2 linked regions of the Daphnia pulex genome follow. The protein of the gene in region 2 purifies or fractionates together with the protein of the main gene of each other region. This does not show direct contact. Links are inferred from orthologs where the notes say so. Each region holds a gene or a part of one and is shown on either strand. Other genes may lie near its edges.

What was found. Proteins that work in one complex are often made in the same cells at the same time.
Region 1: the proteins of replication protein A 32 kDa subunit-like (region 2) and DNA topoisomerase 3-alpha-like purify together in Homo sapiens (affinity purification with mass spectrometry; 4 studies listed by BioGRID and IntAct, with this or other methods). This does not show direct contact. The link is inferred for Daphnia pulex from reciprocal best matches to the Homo sapiens genes RPA2 and TOP3A.

What each region holds. Positions count from the first base shown.
Region 1 is NC_060017.1:7,794,665-7,806,123, reverse strand, and holds DNA topoisomerase 3-alpha-like, read left to right. Parts: upstream 1-4,682; 5' UTR 4,683-4,723; coding exon 4,724-4,843; intron 4,844-4,947; coding exon 4,948-5,008; intron 5,009-5,079; coding exon 5,080-5,465; intron 5,466-5,530; coding exon 5,531-5,681; intron 5,682-5,758; coding exon 5,759-5,963; intron 5,964-6,055; coding exon 6,056-6,140; intron 6,141-6,207; coding exon 6,208-6,366; intron 6,367-6,442; coding exon 6,443-6,643; intron 6,644-6,699; coding exon 6,700-6,852; intron 6,853-6,916; coding exon 6,917-7,194; intron 7,195-7,257; coding exon 7,258-7,345; intron 7,346-7,412; coding exon 7,413-7,670; intron 7,671-7,740; coding exon 7,741-8,177; intron 8,178-8,242; coding exon 8,243-8,808; intron 8,809-8,868; coding exon 8,869-8,903; 3' UTR 8,904-8,967; downstream 8,968-11,459. Other genes in the region: sedoheptulokinase-like, read left to right, coding at 2,831-4,026, 4,093-4,294; chitin-binding domain protein cbd-1-like, read left to right, coding at 9,583-9,631, 9,706-9,743, 9,850-9,960, 10,039-10,105, 10,202-10,290, 10,359-10,434, 10,544-10,588, 10,655-10,707 and 3 more. UniProt on the Homo sapiens protein: Releases the supercoiling and torsional tension of DNA introduced during the DNA replication and transcription by transiently cleaving and rejoining one strand of the DNA duplex.
Region 2 is NC_060017.1:2,573,473-2,580,661, forward strand, and holds replication protein A 32 kDa subunit-like, read left to right. Parts: upstream 1-1,416; 5' UTR 1,417-1,559; coding exon 1,560-1,578; intron 1,579-1,637; coding exon 1,638-1,723; intron 1,724-1,780; coding exon 1,781-1,882; intron 1,883-1,945; coding exon 1,946-2,059; intron 2,060-2,118; coding exon 2,119-2,310; intron 2,311-2,367; coding exon 2,368-2,520; intron 2,521-2,581; coding exon 2,582-2,661; intron 2,662-2,724; coding exon 2,725-2,806; 3' UTR 2,807-2,984; downstream 2,985-7,189. Other genes in the region: CWF19-like protein 2, read right to left, coding at 37-918, 1,005-1,088; sodium-coupled monocarboxylate transporter 1-like, read right to left, coding at 3,142-3,274, 3,353-3,520, 3,581-3,762, 3,827-3,913, 3,985-4,165, 4,239-4,275, 4,338-4,410, 4,498-4,606 and 8 more; sodium-coupled monocarboxylate transporter 1-like, read right to left, coding at 6,891-6,944, 7,013-7,189. UniProt on the Homo sapiens protein: As part of the heterotrimeric replication protein A complex (RPA/RP-A), binds and stabilizes single-stranded DNA intermediates that form during DNA replication or upon DNA stress.

The DNA of each region.
Region 1 (11,459 bases), about 5.2 Mb from region 2:
TTACTTGTCTCATGATGATGGGGAAAACCTTTTCTGGAAAGTTACTTGTTTAGACTTTAGACCACGCGAGAAGAAGATCTCGTCCGTTGACCTGTTTTGATTGTGTGATAAGATAACGATGGGTGAAGGGGAAAAGGCCATGGCAACAAAATCTTCCGCTTTCATAAGAGACCCACCCTAATAACCCGAAGGTATGGACGAACTCTGTAGCTCGATTTTTCTTTTTGAAAAACACGAAGAGAGAGAGAAAAGACAACAAACCTTTCTCTAGTACCTAGAAATAATGATGCCCTTAAAACATTTGTTGTTGTTTTTGGTTTTTTCCGTTTCTCTCAACCGGTTTTCACCTGCTTGAATTGCCTTCAGGGATGTGAGCTTTTTACATTTTTGGACATGAACCTTAACTCTTATTCTCCAGATCTATAACCATTGTCATTTTTGTTGACGAGTAATTTCATTTCAATTCCTTATATGCAAAAATAGCATTTTTCAAACGTCTAGACGTTAGCCATTTGTGTGAGTCGCTGCAAGTTCCAAAATTGGCCGTTAGATGAACTTGCAGGCTGTCCCTAAACTGCGAAAGCGAAACGCGAAACGCGAAACGCCTAAAATGCGGAAAAGCTGTGCGAAACGGACCCAAAAGTTGGGACCTTGTTTCTCATTTTAGGCCTTGGGTCCGTACTAAAATGCGAAATCGGTGGGTGCGAAACGTCAACAGAACGTCAACAGACGACGCCATTAACATACTTGCGTCACAAAAATCTACTCGTCAAGATAAAAACACCTTGCCTTCGAGTTAGTTTATCCTAGTTTCTGTTTTGTATATAATTCGTTAAATTAAAAGGATATTACAGTTTTGTGTATTTACCTATTGTATTCATGATTTTGATTTGTGATTCACGTTATTTGCCATTCAATCACCGCAATACTTCTTAAACTTGGTATGTAATTTCGTGGGTTTTTGCAATCTTTGTTGATGATCTAATGGAGGGAATGGATTGAATTTGACATAGTCAATTTATTGATTCCAAACTTAACTCATCTGATGTTTAAGATACTTTGTTTTTTCTAATATTTTTCTTCGCCCAACTAATTGATGCATTTTTTTTAGATAATTAAAGTCATGGGAGATGTCCACTTCATGAAACTTGCTTTGTCGTTTTGCTGAAGTAAGCTGTCTTTCTGCAAAGAAATAAATGAGAGTAAAGAAAAAACTTCCCAATGTGAGGTGACATGATGTTTCACCTGATACATTGTAACCTACATTCTCTGAGGTATTTTTTAGTTAAAATTATCATGCTGTCTGCATGTTATTCTCATACTTGTCTGTTCTCATAGGTAATACATCTACTGTTTCTGAGGTGACGGAAAAATTATGCAAGTGTTTTCTTTTCTAATCGCTTTTCTTGTTCAAAGCAATAATTTGTTATCCCTGTCATAGAAAACCTTGGTGGAATTCTGAGAGTGGTAATAGTTTCATAGCTCATGCTGCCCAAGTAATAGTGTGGAGCAGGCGTATCTGTGCTTTACTTTTGCTACAAGCGCTAGAAGATTGGCATCACAAATCAAATCTTTGTATTTTCAATCTACAATTCAGGTATCAAAGAATCATTTTTATGTTTAAGGAAAGTTTCGGTTCTTGATTTTTCTTCTTCTGTGATGGCTAGGTGGATACAATATGTGTGCATGTGCGCATGGAAAGAACGCTCGTGTCGATGACTTTGTCAACGGGGGAAAAATGTTAAGCTTAATTTGCTCGATAATAGAATTTGTTTTAATCTTTTCTTCTTTTATTATCATTAGGTGGTGTAGGCTGATTTATTTCATACCTCGGTTGAATCACTCATCAGCCCGTCCCAAGACGCATAGCTGACTTTTGACTTCAATTTTTCATAATTTAAACCGAAATAAAGTAGCGGCTGAAGAAATGAAATTTAATTGCTCCCCCCTTTCAATGTCTTAAATAAAATAATCCCACAGCGCCCAGCGGGGTACATTAACACATTGTTACGTCGTCGACGTTCTCTATGTCATTCGATCAATCTGTTTCTCTTAGCCGGAATTTCTCTCAACAGTTGTTCGCCGAGGAAAATCGGCTGACCAAGTCAAATGGAAAAAACTATCAGCCGATAGCAGCCCGGCGTCTAAATATATATAGCTATTCGATTGAAATTTATTGAAAATGCCACCCAGCTAAAACGTGCTGAAAGCTTCTTCCGCCTCTATTCCACAAAGACTTAATTGGAGATTTCTCATTCAAGAGCTCATCCGAGGGACCCCCGTGCTCTTGAAGAAACAAGAGTAATCGAGTCGACTAAATAAATTTAATTTGATAAGACTGTTTTCCCATGAAATACAAACATTTTATTTTCAAAACTCTAGCGAAAAGTAATATTCGTTAATATATAGTGTACACACATTCATATCCATACATACATTCACATTACATATACTATGAGTCATGAAACATGGCGGCCTAAACGGGCCTCATCCGTCAATTTGCACTCTGGTGGGGAAAAGAAAACATTTTCGTTTCGCATTTTGAGGTTTCGCATTTTAGTATGCCCTCCGGCATTTGGTCCCGCGAAACGGTCCAAAAATTTTGGTCCGTTTCGCACAGCCTTTCCGCATTTTAGGCGTTTCGCGTTTCGCGTTTCGCTTTCGCAGTTTAGGGACAGCAGCCGAACTTGCAGACAGCTTTGAAAAACCAAAACAAACACAAGACCTTTCGTCTGTCTGTCTCGAGCAGTACAGAACGAGAAATTGACAAATAAACAACCTCCCAACTATTGACCGGTAAGCAGAGTCACGTACGAAGCAGAAGAAAAACATGGCCACAGCAGCCAATCTCGTTCTCGGTCTGGATTTAGGAACTACTTCTGTTAAAGTCAGCGTTGTAGATATCCATTCACGCAAAGTGGTAGCCAAGCAAAGCAAGGACACACAGGCCGGCGAAGGAGCCGAACAAGATGTTTCGAAAATCATATCGGCCGTTCATAATTGCATCGGTCGGATTCCTAGAGATTTGCTCAAGAATGTTACAAAGATCGGCGTCTGTGGACAAATGCATGGTGTTGTGCTTTGGAATAAGGAAACCGCTTGGACCACATCAAGCAGTGATCGCTTTGAATTGGGTAAGGGTCCGTTTAGCTCACTGTACACTTGGCAAGATTCTAGGTGCTCCTTGGAATTCCTCAGCGAAGTTCCCAAACCAGACTCCCATTTGAGAATTGCATCAGGATATGGATGTGCCACACTTTTATGGAAGCTGAGAAATGAGCCAGAAGAGCTTTCGCTTTACAGCTGTGCAGGGACCATCCAAGACTTTCTTGTCTCCATGCTTTGTGACCTCGACTGCCCTGTCATGTCCATTCAAAATGCTGCCAGTTGGGGTTACTTCAACACTCAAGACAAGACGTGGAATCTAGACATCTTGAAAACTGTCGACTTCCCCATCCATCTTCTCCCGAAAGTAATGGATAGCGGATCCGTGGCGGGTACCTTGTCGAAAACCTGGTGCGGCATCCCGCGTGGAACGCAAGTGCTTACCGCCTTGGGGGACATGCAGTGCTCCGTGTTATCCACCCTTGCTAACGAGATTGCATGCACGGCCGTGTTAAACATCTCGACATCTGCTCAACTTTCTTTTCGCATGCCGGCCGACTTCACTCTGCCGGACACGCAATCATCTATCGAATATTTCCCGTATTTTGACAACCGCTATCTGGCCGTCGCTGCTTCGTTGAACGGGGGCAACGTCATGGCTTCTTTCGTTCGGATGCTGCAGTCCTGGATGCAGGATTTGGGCTTCGGGGTTCCGCAGAGCTTGATTTGGGATAAAATGCTGACCCTGGTGAAGCAATCAAATTCAACTGAACAAGCCATGACCATCATTCCGACCCTTTTTGGCGAACGTCATCTATCCAGGTTGCCCGCCGCCGAAGTATCCAACATAAATTCGGGAAATATTAGTCTCGGCAATGTGGCGAAAGCATTATTTGAGGGACTCATCACCAACTTGCACAAGTAATAAATTATCTTCTTTATTGCTAGTTTTCTTGACGGTTTGATTTTTATGTTTTCACCAAACAGCATGATGTCCACCACTCTGCTGGAACAGTACGGAGTTACCCAGTTGGTTGGAACCGGATCTGCCCTTAGTCGAAACCAACCTCTTCAACAGCAAGTTGCCGTTCAATATAAAAACATTCCATTTAAAACCGTGCAAGAAGGAGATGCATCTTACGGAGCAGCTCTGGCCGCTTTAAATACTCCACGAACGCCCACGGATTGATAAAACTAAATCAATATTTTCTATAGTCGTTTACCAGCATACGTACTTGCCATTATTTGCCAAACAAATTATCAACATTTTATTATTAGAATATTGCAACGCAAATAAGCTTGCCTTTTAAGTCATTTTAGAGACGCAACTTTACAACTTTTGTCAGTTCACCACTGGATTTTCCACATCTATTAATCTATAATTCTATAGTATTGTTTTTTAAATTTTATTTCAAATTATTTTAATGTTTTTGTGCTTTGTACAATTCTTTTCTCTTAAAATAAATGATCCACTCTTGCCTAAACAAGTAGTTTTTGTCTTATAATTTTAATTTTTAAAAAACTTAAATTAGCTTAAATTTTTTAAGCGACGCATTAGGTTGGCGGAGAGAAGAGGCTTCCATATTGGCGGGTGATCTAACAAAAGGGATGGGAAGTCATGTTATTATTTTCTCATTTCAAATTGTCGGGGATTAAACACGTTTCTTTGAATCGTTTAGAGTTTACTAGATGTTGTAAAACAACTGCCGTATCAGCAGAGTCTTGTAAAATGGTCCAGGTAACATGTCGCAAGAATTGGTATCATCCTTGTACGAATGATGTTACTATTTCCTCATGGGTATTGAACGAAACGTTCGTCTCAAATTCGATGTTTATCTGTAGGTGCTTAATGTAGCAGAGAAAAACGATGCTGCCAAAAATATTGCTGAACTTCTTTCTCGCGGTAATACTTCACACAGTCACAATGCTTAAGCTGCCAAATGTAATAGGATTATATGTTCTTCATTACATTAGGTCGTGCAAATCGTAGAGAAGGCCGAAGCAAATTCAACAAAATCTATGAGTTTGAACATAATCTTTTCAACCAAAATGTCAAAATGGCAGTTACTTCAGTAACTGGTCATCTTCTATCTTCTGACTTTGTTGGAAATTATAAAAAGTGGCATGGGGTTAATCCTGTTACTTTGTTTGAAGCTCCAATTCATAAATTTGTTGCCGATGACTATCAAGACATCAAAAGAACTTTGGAGGAAGAAACCAAAAAGAGCAAATACCTGATCATTTGGACCGATTGTGATAGAGAAGGTGAAAATATTGGCTATGAAGTAATCACAGTATGTCAGGCAATCAAGCCTAGCATTCAAGTGTTCAGAGCAAAGTTCTCTGAAATAACATACCAAGTAAAAGGCTAACTATCTTAATGAAATTTACAATCTAATTCCATTTGTCTAATTTTATTTTATAGTCAATTGCTCGAGCACTTCAAAATTTGGGCCCCCCTAACAAAAATGTCAGTGATGCAGTGGATCTTAGAATTGAGTTGGATCTTAGAATTGGTGCTGCATTTACAAGATTTCAAACTCTACGACTTCAAAAAGTCTTCCCAGGCTCACTTGGTAAGTGGATTTGTTGGCTGTATCAAGTCTACGACAAATAAATTCAACATTTCAATAATAATGTTTAAAATTTGTAGGCCAATCTATGATCAGTTATGGTTCGTGTCAGTTCCCAACTCTAGGCTTTATTGTCGAGCGATATAAAGCCATACAGGATTTTGTGAGAGAGAATTTTTGGAAACTCAAAGTTGTCTGGGAGCTCAATGAGGAAGAGCGCGTTGAATTCCTTTGGAAAAGACACCATTTGTTTGATCAAACAGTGGTTCAAATACTCCTTGAAAAGTATTTGTTATTATTATCAACTAGCATTATCAACTAAAATTCAAGTGTTATTAGTTTTGATTAAATTTATATTACTATGATATTGATAAAAGATGCCAGGAGAACCCTGAAGCTGAAATAATCAAAGTTCAAACAAAGAATAAAAGCAAATGGAGACCTTTGCCTTTAGACACTGTTGTATGTGAAATTTTTTTGTCTGGTCTATTTTTCCGCATATAATTTTACATCACGATTTATGTCATAGGAACTTGAAAAGCTAGCATCCAGGAAACTGCGAATCAATGCCAAGGAAACGATGAAGATTGCCGAGAAATTGTACACTCAAGGATTCATCAGTTACCCACGTACCGAAACAAATATCTTTCCCAAAGAATTGGACCTGACTCCTTTGGTCCAGTGTCAGGTATATCATGACAAACTTAACTATTCGTGTTCTTGAATTATAATCATATTGGTTACGCTAAAATATTTTGCATTAGACGGTTGATCCTGCTTGGGGAGGATTCGCTCAACGCGTTTTGGACGAAGGGCTGAACCCTCGCCAGGGGAAGAAAAGTGATCAGGCCCATCCTCCCATTCATCCAACAAAATATGCAGGAAATTTAAATAATGAGAATGAACGCAAACTTTACGAGTTTATCGTTCGCCATTTTTTAGCTTGCGTCAGTAAGGATGCCCAGGTATGTTGAGGAATTTATTTTATTTCCACGTTCCGCTAAGTTTATGGTTCTTACAGGGTTACGAAACGGTGGCCGAAATCGAAATTCAAGAAGAAGGCTTCGTCGCCAGTGGATTGCAAATAGTAGCAAGAAACTATTTGGAAGTATATCCGTACGAGCGCTGGAGTGATCGTAGTCTTCCCCAACTCAATGAAGGCCAGCGCTTCATCGTATAAAACTTAAACATTTCCAGGATATTCCGGTCAAATACTAATTGTTGTTTGCCTTTTATAGCCGACATCGATAACCATGGATGAGGGAGAAACTAGTCCACCTCAACTATTAAGTGAAGCTGATTTGATTTCATTGATGGAAAAACATGGAATTGGTACTGACGCCACACATGCTGACCATATTGAGACGGTCAAATCGCGGCAGTACGCTGGCGTACAAGGCGACGGACGCTTCTTACCTTGTTCATTGGGTATGGGACTCGTACAGGGTTATGACGCCATGGGGATCGCGCTTTCAAAGCCAAATCTCAGAGCTGAACTCGAGGCTGATCTTAAAAGGTTGGAAAAATTAAATTAAAACCTAACCCCGTCCTAGTATTAATTGCACATTTAATCTTGCAGAGTTTGCGATGGAGAAAGGAATCCGAATGATGTCTTGAGAGAGCAGATTGAAAGATACAGAAGGGTGTTTGTACAAGCAATGGAACAGGTAAACTTGTTTTCACGAATGGTTGCCATTTCAAATCAAGTTAAAATAATTACAATAACCACAATAGGTCATCAAAATCGACGAGGCTCTTTCGACATTCTTTAATGAGGAACGACAGGAAGCACCACCGATGATTCCTGAGGGAGGACCAGATGCAAATTTGCCTTACCGAAAGTGCCCTGCTTGTAACTTGGACATGACTCTGCGACGGAAAAAGGACAACAGTTTCTTTTTCTCTTGTATGGGCTTTCCTGAATGTAAAACCGCCGTCTGGCTGCCAGCTGCTGTACAGCAAGTGGAAGTTGATGCGGAAAAGTGTAACGCGGTCTGTATTTCGTCTTTTATTTAACAACTATCGTGCTTCTCTGTTTTTTACAAGTCAATCTCTTCTCCAGTGTCCTTTTCATCCACCCCTATTGCGGTTCCAATTCACCCCGGGAGTTTACGCTCCATTTTACCCGGATACTCATCGCGGTTGTATTGGTGGATGCGACCCAAACTTTATGGAACTTCTAGGAATCCGTCCGTTGGCAACACAACCCCGAAACCAAAACAACACTCAGCCGAGTAACACTAGAGTTGCCAATGATTCTGGGAATTCTTCTGGTTACGCTTCCGGATCTCAGTATTCTGCAAATAGCTCCCGTTCCTCTGCTTCGACTCTTCCTAGACCTCAAGTCCAGCCTCGCCCAATGGCTCCCAATAACGCTCGAAGTGCTCGACCGCCAATTCCTTCAGCGTTCTCTGGAGCTACCCAACCGAATATCCCTTCACAGCCGTACTTCCGTCAACCTGTGCCTCATCCGCCATCAAGATCTGATAACAACAACGGGTATTTATGATTTACTAAAGTGAAATGGATCTTAAACAATCTAAACCTTTTGTTTTGTTGCTTAGGGACTCTGCGATTGTATGCAAGTGCAGGGACGCACCTGATGCTTTGCTCCTAACGGTTAGGAAGGAAGGTCCCAACACGGGTCGGCAGTTCTATAAATGTGCAAAACAACAGGATGGCTGCGATTTTTTCCTATGGGCTGATGCTGCCAATGTACCGGCACCAGCTGCTCAAAATGGTCGTGGTGGGGCAGGAGAAGCATTTTTCCGTCAGCCGACTGCCCGGAATGAGCGACGTGATAACGATGATTCGGAGACTTACTGTGACTGTGACGGAGGGGGTCGTGAATTGGCCACGACAAGAACAACCCAAAAACCAGGACCAAATTGTGGGCGTCAATTTTATTGTTGCGCCAAACCGCGTGAGGCACAGTGCAATTTCTTCAAGTGGATGGATGACACCGGCGCTAGCGGAAGTGGATTTGATCAAGACTCCCGAGGAGGATCGAATCAAGACACGGGTTCTAGAGGAAGAGGGCGAGGAAGAGGACGCGGTCGTGGGAAGTCTAGTGATCCGTCATCCACTACCGAAAGAAGAGCGAGGAAATGCGGAAACTGCGGTCAAGAAGGTAGGCTAATATTTACATTCCTTTTCGTATTGTTTACAAACTGTTAATTTCTGAATGCAGGTCACACTAGAAATCATTGTCCTGATTTTGCCTAATGTCTTTCGCTGGCGTACTCCCGTTCAGTTCAGTCAAATAAAGACATGTGTTGATACTTTGGAAGCATTGAACAGTTATTTCACGACGATTAGATCAAACGAAGTGATCAAAACGAATAGTGTAATAAATGTATTCTGTTTCATCCTAATATTTTAGATATTACATGTAAGCAACTTAGACATCATCTGTATAAATTATCTCCTAATGCAGCGTAACTTTGGAAAGTTGCAATCATAAATTAACAACGGTTATTCGGTGCTTCGCAACTGACAGGTAAAAAAGGTGTGGCTCTGCCTGTCTAAAAATATAACAATGTGTATAATGCGTATAAATGTCGCATTCACTCTATTGACCTGTTTATATAATGTGTTATTGCTATCTATTACCGTCACTGATCCACCGACATTCCGTTTAGCCTCTGGTAATGAACAAACAACAACTACTGTCATATCTGGTCACTGTGCCCTCTGAAAATGTTGTTGCGCCACACGATAAGGATTTAGTTAGTTTTTTTTTAGGCGTGATTTTTCATAAGATCCGCGATAAACTCTGCGACGCGAAGTGGTTAAAACAAACGAAAATGCTGTTTCTAGTAAGTTCAGTCGTTGACTTGTGCATCTACAGTTTATCCGTTGTGTTCCACGCCTGCTCGTCTCCCATCTGTTCTGTAAGAAAAAGATGATGGAGCGGTGGATACAATTTATCTTGATTCTTGTAATCACTCAAGGTAATGTTATACTCAAATATGTTGCGCATTTATAGTTGTTTTTAATCATGTTTTCATTTCTTCTTCTTGATCAGGCTACTCTTGTTCTTTTTTGAAGGAATCGCCAACACCGGTAAGTATTTTCTGGCGTCGTCAATTACAGCACTATTTTTCCATTGCATTTATTTTTAAAGTGCGGAAAGTTAAATATTTTACATTTATTTTTTACTATTACACAGTCACCTGATTTCGTTTGCCCCTCCGACCTACCAGATGGCTATTACACTATGAACAACCAGTGCACTAATGATTTTTACTTGTGCTATGGTGGAAACATGATAAATTACCAGGTATACGAACAAAAGACTAAAACAATCTTCATAAAAGCAGAAGTAACGTATTTTGTAAATTTATGTTGTTCTTATTAGCTCTGCCCAGAACCACAATTGTTCGATCCAGAAATGCACACTTGCGTCGAACCCGCACTTTGTTTCGGTAAGTCCTTAGTTGACTTAAACATTTCTGAAAATCAGTAACGTAATGACTGTTATGTTTTCTTTCCTTCTTTCTTTCTCTTTTTCTTCTTATCAGAATGTCCCGCTGAAGAAGGAAAATATCCTGTTCCTCAACACTGCGTCGGTGAATATTACGAATGCACTAAGGGATACCCGCAAAAACTGGTCTTACTACTTTATTATTTTTCCAATTTAAAAAATGTTCTTTGACCATCTCCGTTTCCTTAATGTAGACGTGCCCTAACGACTACATCTTTGATCCTGTGACTTATGAATGCGTACCTTCCGGTGAAGCTACATGCAATACCGGTAGTAATTTTTTTCTTTAGACTTCCGTCGACAAAAAGTTTTAGTATATTTCTTCAAACGTGATGCGCAAAATTGGCTTATTAATTTGTTTATTTTGTAAATATGATAGATGCGTCGTTCGACTGCGGTGAAGACGGCTACTACACGTACCCTGGTAAATACAATAAAACAAATCGGATTAATAGAGTGAGTGATCTTAATTCATTATTATATTTGTCAGACACTTGTAGCGGATTGTATTTTTATTGTGCTGGCGGCCAAAGTTTTACAATGGTAAAATAATTAATGGGGACAATATTTGAACAACTAAACATTTTAACTACGCATATACAATTGCTATAGTATTGTCCATCGGGTTCCGTATTTGACCAAAACTTGTCTACCTGTAAGCCAATAGAAGAAACATGCACGCGTAAGTAAACAACAGTATAAAATCGTATTTATGCTATTAATAAAAAGTATAGCTATCTCTGTTTTTTACCTGTGGTAATGTTGTTTACCTGTTAATGTTTTTTACCTGTAGCAGTATGACGATTGTTAAATTACCTTCTATTTTTGGTTTATCAGCCGGGCCAAAGACCACTACTCCAACTACTACCCCAACTACTACCCCAACTACTACCCCAACTACTACCCCAACTACTACCCCAACTACTACACCAACTACTACCCCAACTACTACACCAACTACTACCCCGACCACTACACCGACCACTACACCGACCACTACACCAACCACTACACCAACCACTACACCAACCACTACACCGACCACAACAACGACCACTGCAACAACCACTACAACAACAACAACTACTACAACAACAACTAAACCAACCACGACCCTCCCCCCAGGTTTTATTTGCCCAATGCCAAACGGTAACTTCGAAATTCCCGGGAATTGCACTTCGTTTTATAATTGCACCAATGGAGTATACACTATACAAGTATAATTGTTATTGTTATTAAATTTCTCAATCTGAAATAACTATTTTCTTTCCTTGATGACAGAATTGTCCCTCTGG
Region 2 (7,189 bases):
AAATGAAAACATAATACGTAAAATATAATAAATAACCGCTTGTCCCATGATTTCGGCTTTGATGATTTTTGCTCCGAGAGCATTTAATTCCTGTTCAGTCCATATTTTGTCATCTTCTTGTGGTGGCTGTGTATCCTGTTTTTCTTCTTCACTTTCTGAAGACGACGAAGAAGTCGATGAATCCACTGGGTTGCTTGATTTGGCTTCATTTTTCTTCCATCCTGGTTGCGAAGAATAAAACCGTTTGTTTGTATGGGAAACAACTTCGTCACTCTCACTTGGTCTTCTGAATCTTTCTTGAACGGTTGATGATTTTCTAATGTTTTCTGGATGTTTTCGCTCTCGGGATCTTGATCTATCTCTGCTACTAACATGTGTGGAATCTCTATCTGAGGTTCTTTGTTTTTTTCTTTCTGAAGGATTGGAAGATACTGCATGACTATTAGGACTATCATGCCTTTTTGAGGATTCTGCTTCAGTTCTTTCAGGTGGCAAACCAGTTCCTCCATTTTTCCAGTATGGATTTAATTCTCTACTTGACTGCCCTGGTTTTTCCATCATGGTCTTTCTTGCAATTTCTTCATTCTTGTTCAGGGATGTTCGTTTGGGAGGCATGCTACTGTTACTGAAAATTGGAAGCAAAGAAGGCACACTCATCCATTCATCTCTCTCAAGAGGAGCAGATGAAGCGGGTTCTGTTGTTTCAGATGTTTTCTCTACCCATTCATCAGAATCAGAGGAATTGTCTTTTTTCTTGCTTTTTTTATGTTTCTTATCCTTTTTATGTTTTTTTTCTTTTTTACTTTTTTTGGATTTACCGGACAATTGAGCATCCAACTCAGGCAGCATCCATTTGTCTTCACCATTTAATTTGGCCAATTCTTTTTTAGCTTTCCTTTTCTCATAATCTCTTTCTGCCTAAAACAAAAGAAAAATAAACTAAACCAAATGTATACCAGTAAAATACTATTAAATCAAATTGGTGAAATGTGATGGTGTATTACCTTCGCAAGAATTGCCTCTCTCGCTTCTCGTTTCATTTGTCTCATTTCATCTAAGTCTTTAGAATTTTCAAAATTTATCGACATTTCAAAGGATTATTTCTATGGGCTAAAACTTGAAAAAGAAAACTAGAAAAGCAACACAAATTATTTTCAATCAAATTTACAAAAACGAAAACATTCGTTTTGACGTCTGTCGTTTTGAAGCGAAAACAAGCATTGCCAATTTGTTCAACCAGAGTCATCCGGTTCAACTTTTAATTTTTTTTACAAGCATATAATAAATTTTAAAAACGTTAATAAAAACGTTAATTAAAATTATCAATTGTAGTAAAAATTGTAAAAAGATGCCATTTAATTCAATATTGATATCAAATGTTTCCAACTCGTCAACATCGGATTGCGAAAACTAGTTTTCCCGCCATCTATAAAGAAAAGAAAACAGTGGATAGACGCAGTACAAGTTACAACGTCTGCATACCTGATTGAAGTGATTCACGTGCATTACGTTTTGTTTTGAGAACGACAAATTTAAACGAATAATTGAATTAATCTATAATGTGGGATCAATCAGCAAGTAATAAATACAATTTTGTCAAGCTTTGTGTTATTAACTTTACATTCTTTCCATTACAGGCGATTTTGGAAATGGAACAATGGCCGGTGGTTTCTTTAATGCTGGAACTCCAGGAGGCACAGTTAATACTCCTGGAGAAAAGAAGGTTTGAAGACATTTTTAATATCTCATAGACATTTTCTCATGTTTGTTTCATTCACAGGGTGGAGCTCAACGGGCTCATAATATCATTCCAGTTAATATCAAAGATATATTGGATGAAATTGATGAAAAACTAAAGATAGAAGATACTGAAGCCCACATGGTATCCATATTTATCTTCACTTTGAGTTACATTTACTTATGATTTACAACTTATCTCTTTTAGGTTACATTTGTAGGTACTGTCGAACAGATTGAATCCAAACAGACTAATGTTTCGTACACTGTAAGGGATGATACAGGTTCTATTGAAGTTGTTCAGTGGATTGAGGGTGAAGGGGTATGTATTGTGTTCTGCATATGTTTTCACTCATTATTTATTCCAATTTATTTTTGCAGAATGTCCAATCACCTTTTCAAGTTGTGGAAGGGAATTTTTGTCGAGTTGTTGGATCTATTAGACAGACACAGGATCGCCGTCACGTAATGGCATTTCGTGTTGCGAAACTAACAACTGCTAACGAAATAACAACCCACTTGCTAGAGACGCAATGGGTTCGTATGAAGTTGAGACAGATGAAGAGAAAAATGGTAATGAACAACTCAAATGAATGCTTGAACAAAGGTAAATGATTTTTATTTATAAAGGGAGAAGGAACAGGACAATCAATGAATAACTCAGTGATGGGTGGTGGAATGACTGGGCCTTTAGCTTCTTCATCCTCAGCTACTTCCAATGTGGCAAACGGTATCATGTCAGGACTGTCATCTTTTCAATCTATGGTTTATACCATCATTCAGGTAGATTCATTTGTCATCTATGTGATCAAATTCAAACAATAAAAAACCATGTTATTTTTAGGCAACAACAGCGGAAACCGGCATGGAAAAGTCGCAGATCTACAATTCTGTCAGAGGAAGAATGATCCCACGTGATGTAGAGTAAGTGTATTGATGTGGAAGACAAACATGTTTTCATTGATTTTAATTTAAATTTTTTATTAGTGCTGCTTTGGAATTCCTTTGTTCTGAGGGACATATTTACTCTACGGTGGACGAAGACCATTTCAAATCGACCGATAGCTAAACAAGATTAAGATGTACTGTACCTTCATTCTCATTAAATATCTACTAGAATAGATACATTATACTCAAAACTGTGTCGACTCAGTCTGCGGAATTTATCCTGAAGCTATTAATTCCAACTGTTTTGAAATGGTTCAGTTCTGTCTGTCTTTCAACATAAAAGCTTAAATCGTCTAAAATCCATCGGATCTACATCGGATAATTCATTTTCAGTATATTCAAATATCAGGTACATAATGACCACGGATAACTGGATCATGTCTAATTGCTATGGCAAGTGTTTGTGATGCATTCGAAGTAAAATGTTATTTACATCATAGAATGAAGACGTAAATGTTAGGTATCAGGCAAATTTACTTCTATTATTGGTGATAATCTTCTTGGAAGTTCCCACAGTAATATCCCGTTTCGTTGCCTACGAATAACCGTAGCGCCATCGGTTTCATCACTTGGTTGGAGTGCCGCTTTACTATGATAACATTATTGATTCAAAAATTAAAGCTAAACTCGCTAACATGTAGAAAATGTTTTGCTAAAGTTATCTTACTTTAATAGACGGTTATGATTTACTCGGTAAAGTAACTTGGGATTTAGTTTTGCAGGATCTTGCGGCTCAGACAAAATGCTTCCAATGGTACCAATGATTAAGACGATCACCACGCTCAATACCGTGTACCACAAATACGAAATCCGTAAGAGCACAAATGCATCCGCTCTAGAATGGAATGAAATATCGCGTTAAGTTTCAAATTATTATCTAGAAACGGACTCATACTTTTGAATAAAAAAATGAACGGAAGGTGACCCAACGTCTGTTGAATTGAACGACGGGCAGTTATCTGTGATAAGTAGTTTCATTTGATCATTCGTAATTAGATTATTAGTTTTGGCAATTTGTGTGCTTATTCCCAGCAACATCATAATTGCGAAAGATATAATGGCTCCAAATCCTGCTCCCTTTATAATCAACAATACAAGCAATAAGAAAAATAAAAGTGAAACGTAATAATGTAATACTTACAGTCGAATTAGACCATGGGACAAACATACCTAAACTAAAAACCCCTAAAATTATTCCTGCCATAGCGCCAAGAAAACTCAGAGAAGACTAAATCGAAATCGTTAAACGAAACTATTAATAATCGCCACATCAAAACTACTCATTTTGCGGTTTCTTACATCCAGTGAAATTTGAAACTTGGCAAAATATATGGCCACGCCAAATGTGACACAGCCAAAGATGATTACGGTCATTTTGTTAACTAATGATGCTTTGCTATCCCGCATTATAGGGAAGGAAGGTCGAATTAGGTCTTCGAGAACAACCAGCGAGACGGCATGTAAATTACTAGATAGAATACTACATTGAACAGTGAGAAATTGAATGTTATTGAATAAACTTCTACTGTATAGTTCTTTTCTAAAGAAATAACCTTGTAACCCCACTGAAAATTCCTGTTGCGAAAATTCCTACGTAATAAACATTTCGTCATTAATTTTTTAGGAAAAAGCAATGTGAAAGACCAGTATACCTGGTAAACCCGGAAATTTCCTAATAGTTTGGATAACAAACAAAGGGAAGATCTCGTTCGAATTTTTAACAATCTATAGTGGAGAAATGGTAAGGTTGTTTGATTAAATTCAAGTAAGCGTATGTCATTTAGCATCTGAGTGAAATAAAATCTTCCTCACTTCGGCTTTCAAAGGAGCGCAGTCAAAGTAAAATGCATATGTAACAAGGCCTGTTAAGCAACAGAGAGAAATGATTCCTGCTAGTAAAAGGAAATTGATGCACTGCGATCTGAAAATAAACGTCAAAAGTCAAATTTACTTGAGAGAAGGATTTTCGTTCTGTTTTGAAATCACGTACATTCGTGCTTTATGAAGCGTTGGCAAAGCTAAGCATCGCTGAACAAACACTTGATCCGTAGCGTACATAGATGTGAACAAGAAAAATCCTCCGATGGACAAAGACCAGACCTTAAAACATTTTGAAAACTTTGAAATTAAAATATTATTTCAAATAATAAGGCATTTATGCATTAACTGTGTGACGAGTGGTAGGGTCGAAATCGAAGCTGCAAAAAAATAAAGGATTAAAATCCAACATTCAGTCGGATGCGAATGAAATTATCTACTTAAAGAATTCAATGCGGGACGAGTTGGCGTTCAGCAAAAAAACGTTTTCTAGACCACCGACGAGCATGACTCCTTTTACCAACACAATAATTATTGATCCGTACATCATGCATAATTGGAAAGTGGCGGTCCATACTACAGCTTTGATACCGCCCTAAAATAAGTAGCAATAACTCATTATTTCTCATCAGAATAATTTACTGTACTTACAATAGCGGTGTAGAAGATGCACACAGCGAACATAATGCTGATTGAAACATTCTCTTGGAGTCCGGTCACTGAGCAGGTATACATGATAATTAATAAGAGGAAACCGAGTCCTCTGAAGGCAAAATTTTATATTCACCTTGTTTTAAAGCCAGTGATGGTCCATACACCATCACTGCCAAATAAAAAATCTGTTTAAATCCATACACGAAAAAAAATATTAATAACAACCGCCTTATTTCTATTTTGCATTTCTTATTGAAATACCGTTTTGAAAATGTAGAGTATAGAAATTAACTGTCGTATAGTACAACTGAAGCGCATTTCAAGGTACTAAGAAAAAATTGACAGTATAAAACTTGCTCACTAAATAAATTACAAGTTTACAATCTTATACTTGATGGATCGAGCCGTCAAGCTGAAGTTGGTGATAAAATGGTAAGTAGACATAAACGGATACTGGAATGGAGAGACCCGCGGCAACAATTATCCACCAGTACATCGATCCAGTTAGGTAAACATCTGTCGGTATGCCAAGCAAAGCTGAAGCCGATATTGAGCTGCATGAAAAGAAAGATAAATCATCAGTCAAGAAATAAAGCTGTCAATTTAATAACACCTTGCTGTTAAAGACATGGCGATGGGAAAGATGCCTATTGTTTTTCTGCCAATTAGATTGTCGGACGTTGAATTGCTTACGCCACGCCACGCGTAATACACGCCGATCACCATTGAAGAAAGCAAAGCGGCGATAAAAATCAAGTAATCACCTAAACTGAACGTTGCCTTTTGGAAAGATTCAAATCGATCCATATCTGTGTCTCACTCTAACGCAATGAAAATTATAAATTAAAGTAGCGGCAACGAACCGTAACGATTTTCAAACTAGTTAATATTGACGTTGAACGTACCACACCGTAACGCGTAACTCTGTTTTAGTGCGGTTTAAACACTGGTAATAAACAATCAAACAGTCCGAGACAACTGCGTTTTAGATAGTGTACGAGTTTTGATCGTAAAACATGGTCAAACCAAATGGACAAAAATGTTAACTTGGTTCGATGGAGACTTCAATGAGTCAATTCTTTGCAACGCTGTTGTTCGCCTTGACCGTGTTGATTAGAAAGGAGGCTCACAAGAGTTGTCCCACAAAAAAGAGTTTGTCATATCACGGTCAGCTGGTTTAGGCAGCAAAAAAGCTTTGGAAACAAACAACTTTTTTTAAAGAAAAAAAAATAGCTCTGTCCGCACTAGAAATAATAATACAAAACGCGCAATGTAGTACTCAGGTTTCTCGCCATTTCCTTAGCGCATCCATTTTCATGAATAAATTATCTTTTCACATTAAGGCGTAGATGATTTAAACAGTTATTTTTAAAAAGAATTGCGAGAGAAAAGAAAAGAAATAAAACGGGTTTATAAAAGTCGAGTTAAAACGTTTTCTAAGGATAAAATCACTATGATTTACGGTTTTCTACTCTTGAGCGTACCTCAATATTGGAAGACAGAAGGCCGCTGCGAGCGCCTTACTTTGGCAGGCTGAGTTTAAAATGTTGCAAAGGTCTGTGGTCCGACATAAAAACTGGAAGTGTAGCCTTCATTCCTTATTCAAAAGGACTAGACTGACAATTGTGAAGGTCACTATTGATTGAAGGAGATGAATTATGGTTTGGGGCAAAAGTGTTAACTCATAAGGAGTGCATAATCCAAGGTTTCACTGAAAGGTCAAACTATAAAATTCATTCTAGTTCAATGTCATCAGTTTTGGGGTCCGAAGGCAACTCTCCAGCCTTCTGGAAATAGAAAAAAAAATCGTTATTCATAATTCGTACCACAAATGAAATTACACCGCAATTATTACTGAACACGTATTTACTTTGCTCGATCGAAAACAGTTGCTGAATTTGCAAAGAAGTTTGGGGTCAAGTTTTTGAGGATTTTGTGGTCCGGATAAAAAGCTGACTATTGTCCCGAGGATCAGCACAATCAACATTCCTATCATTGTGTACCACAGGTACGAAATCTTCCATAAAACAAA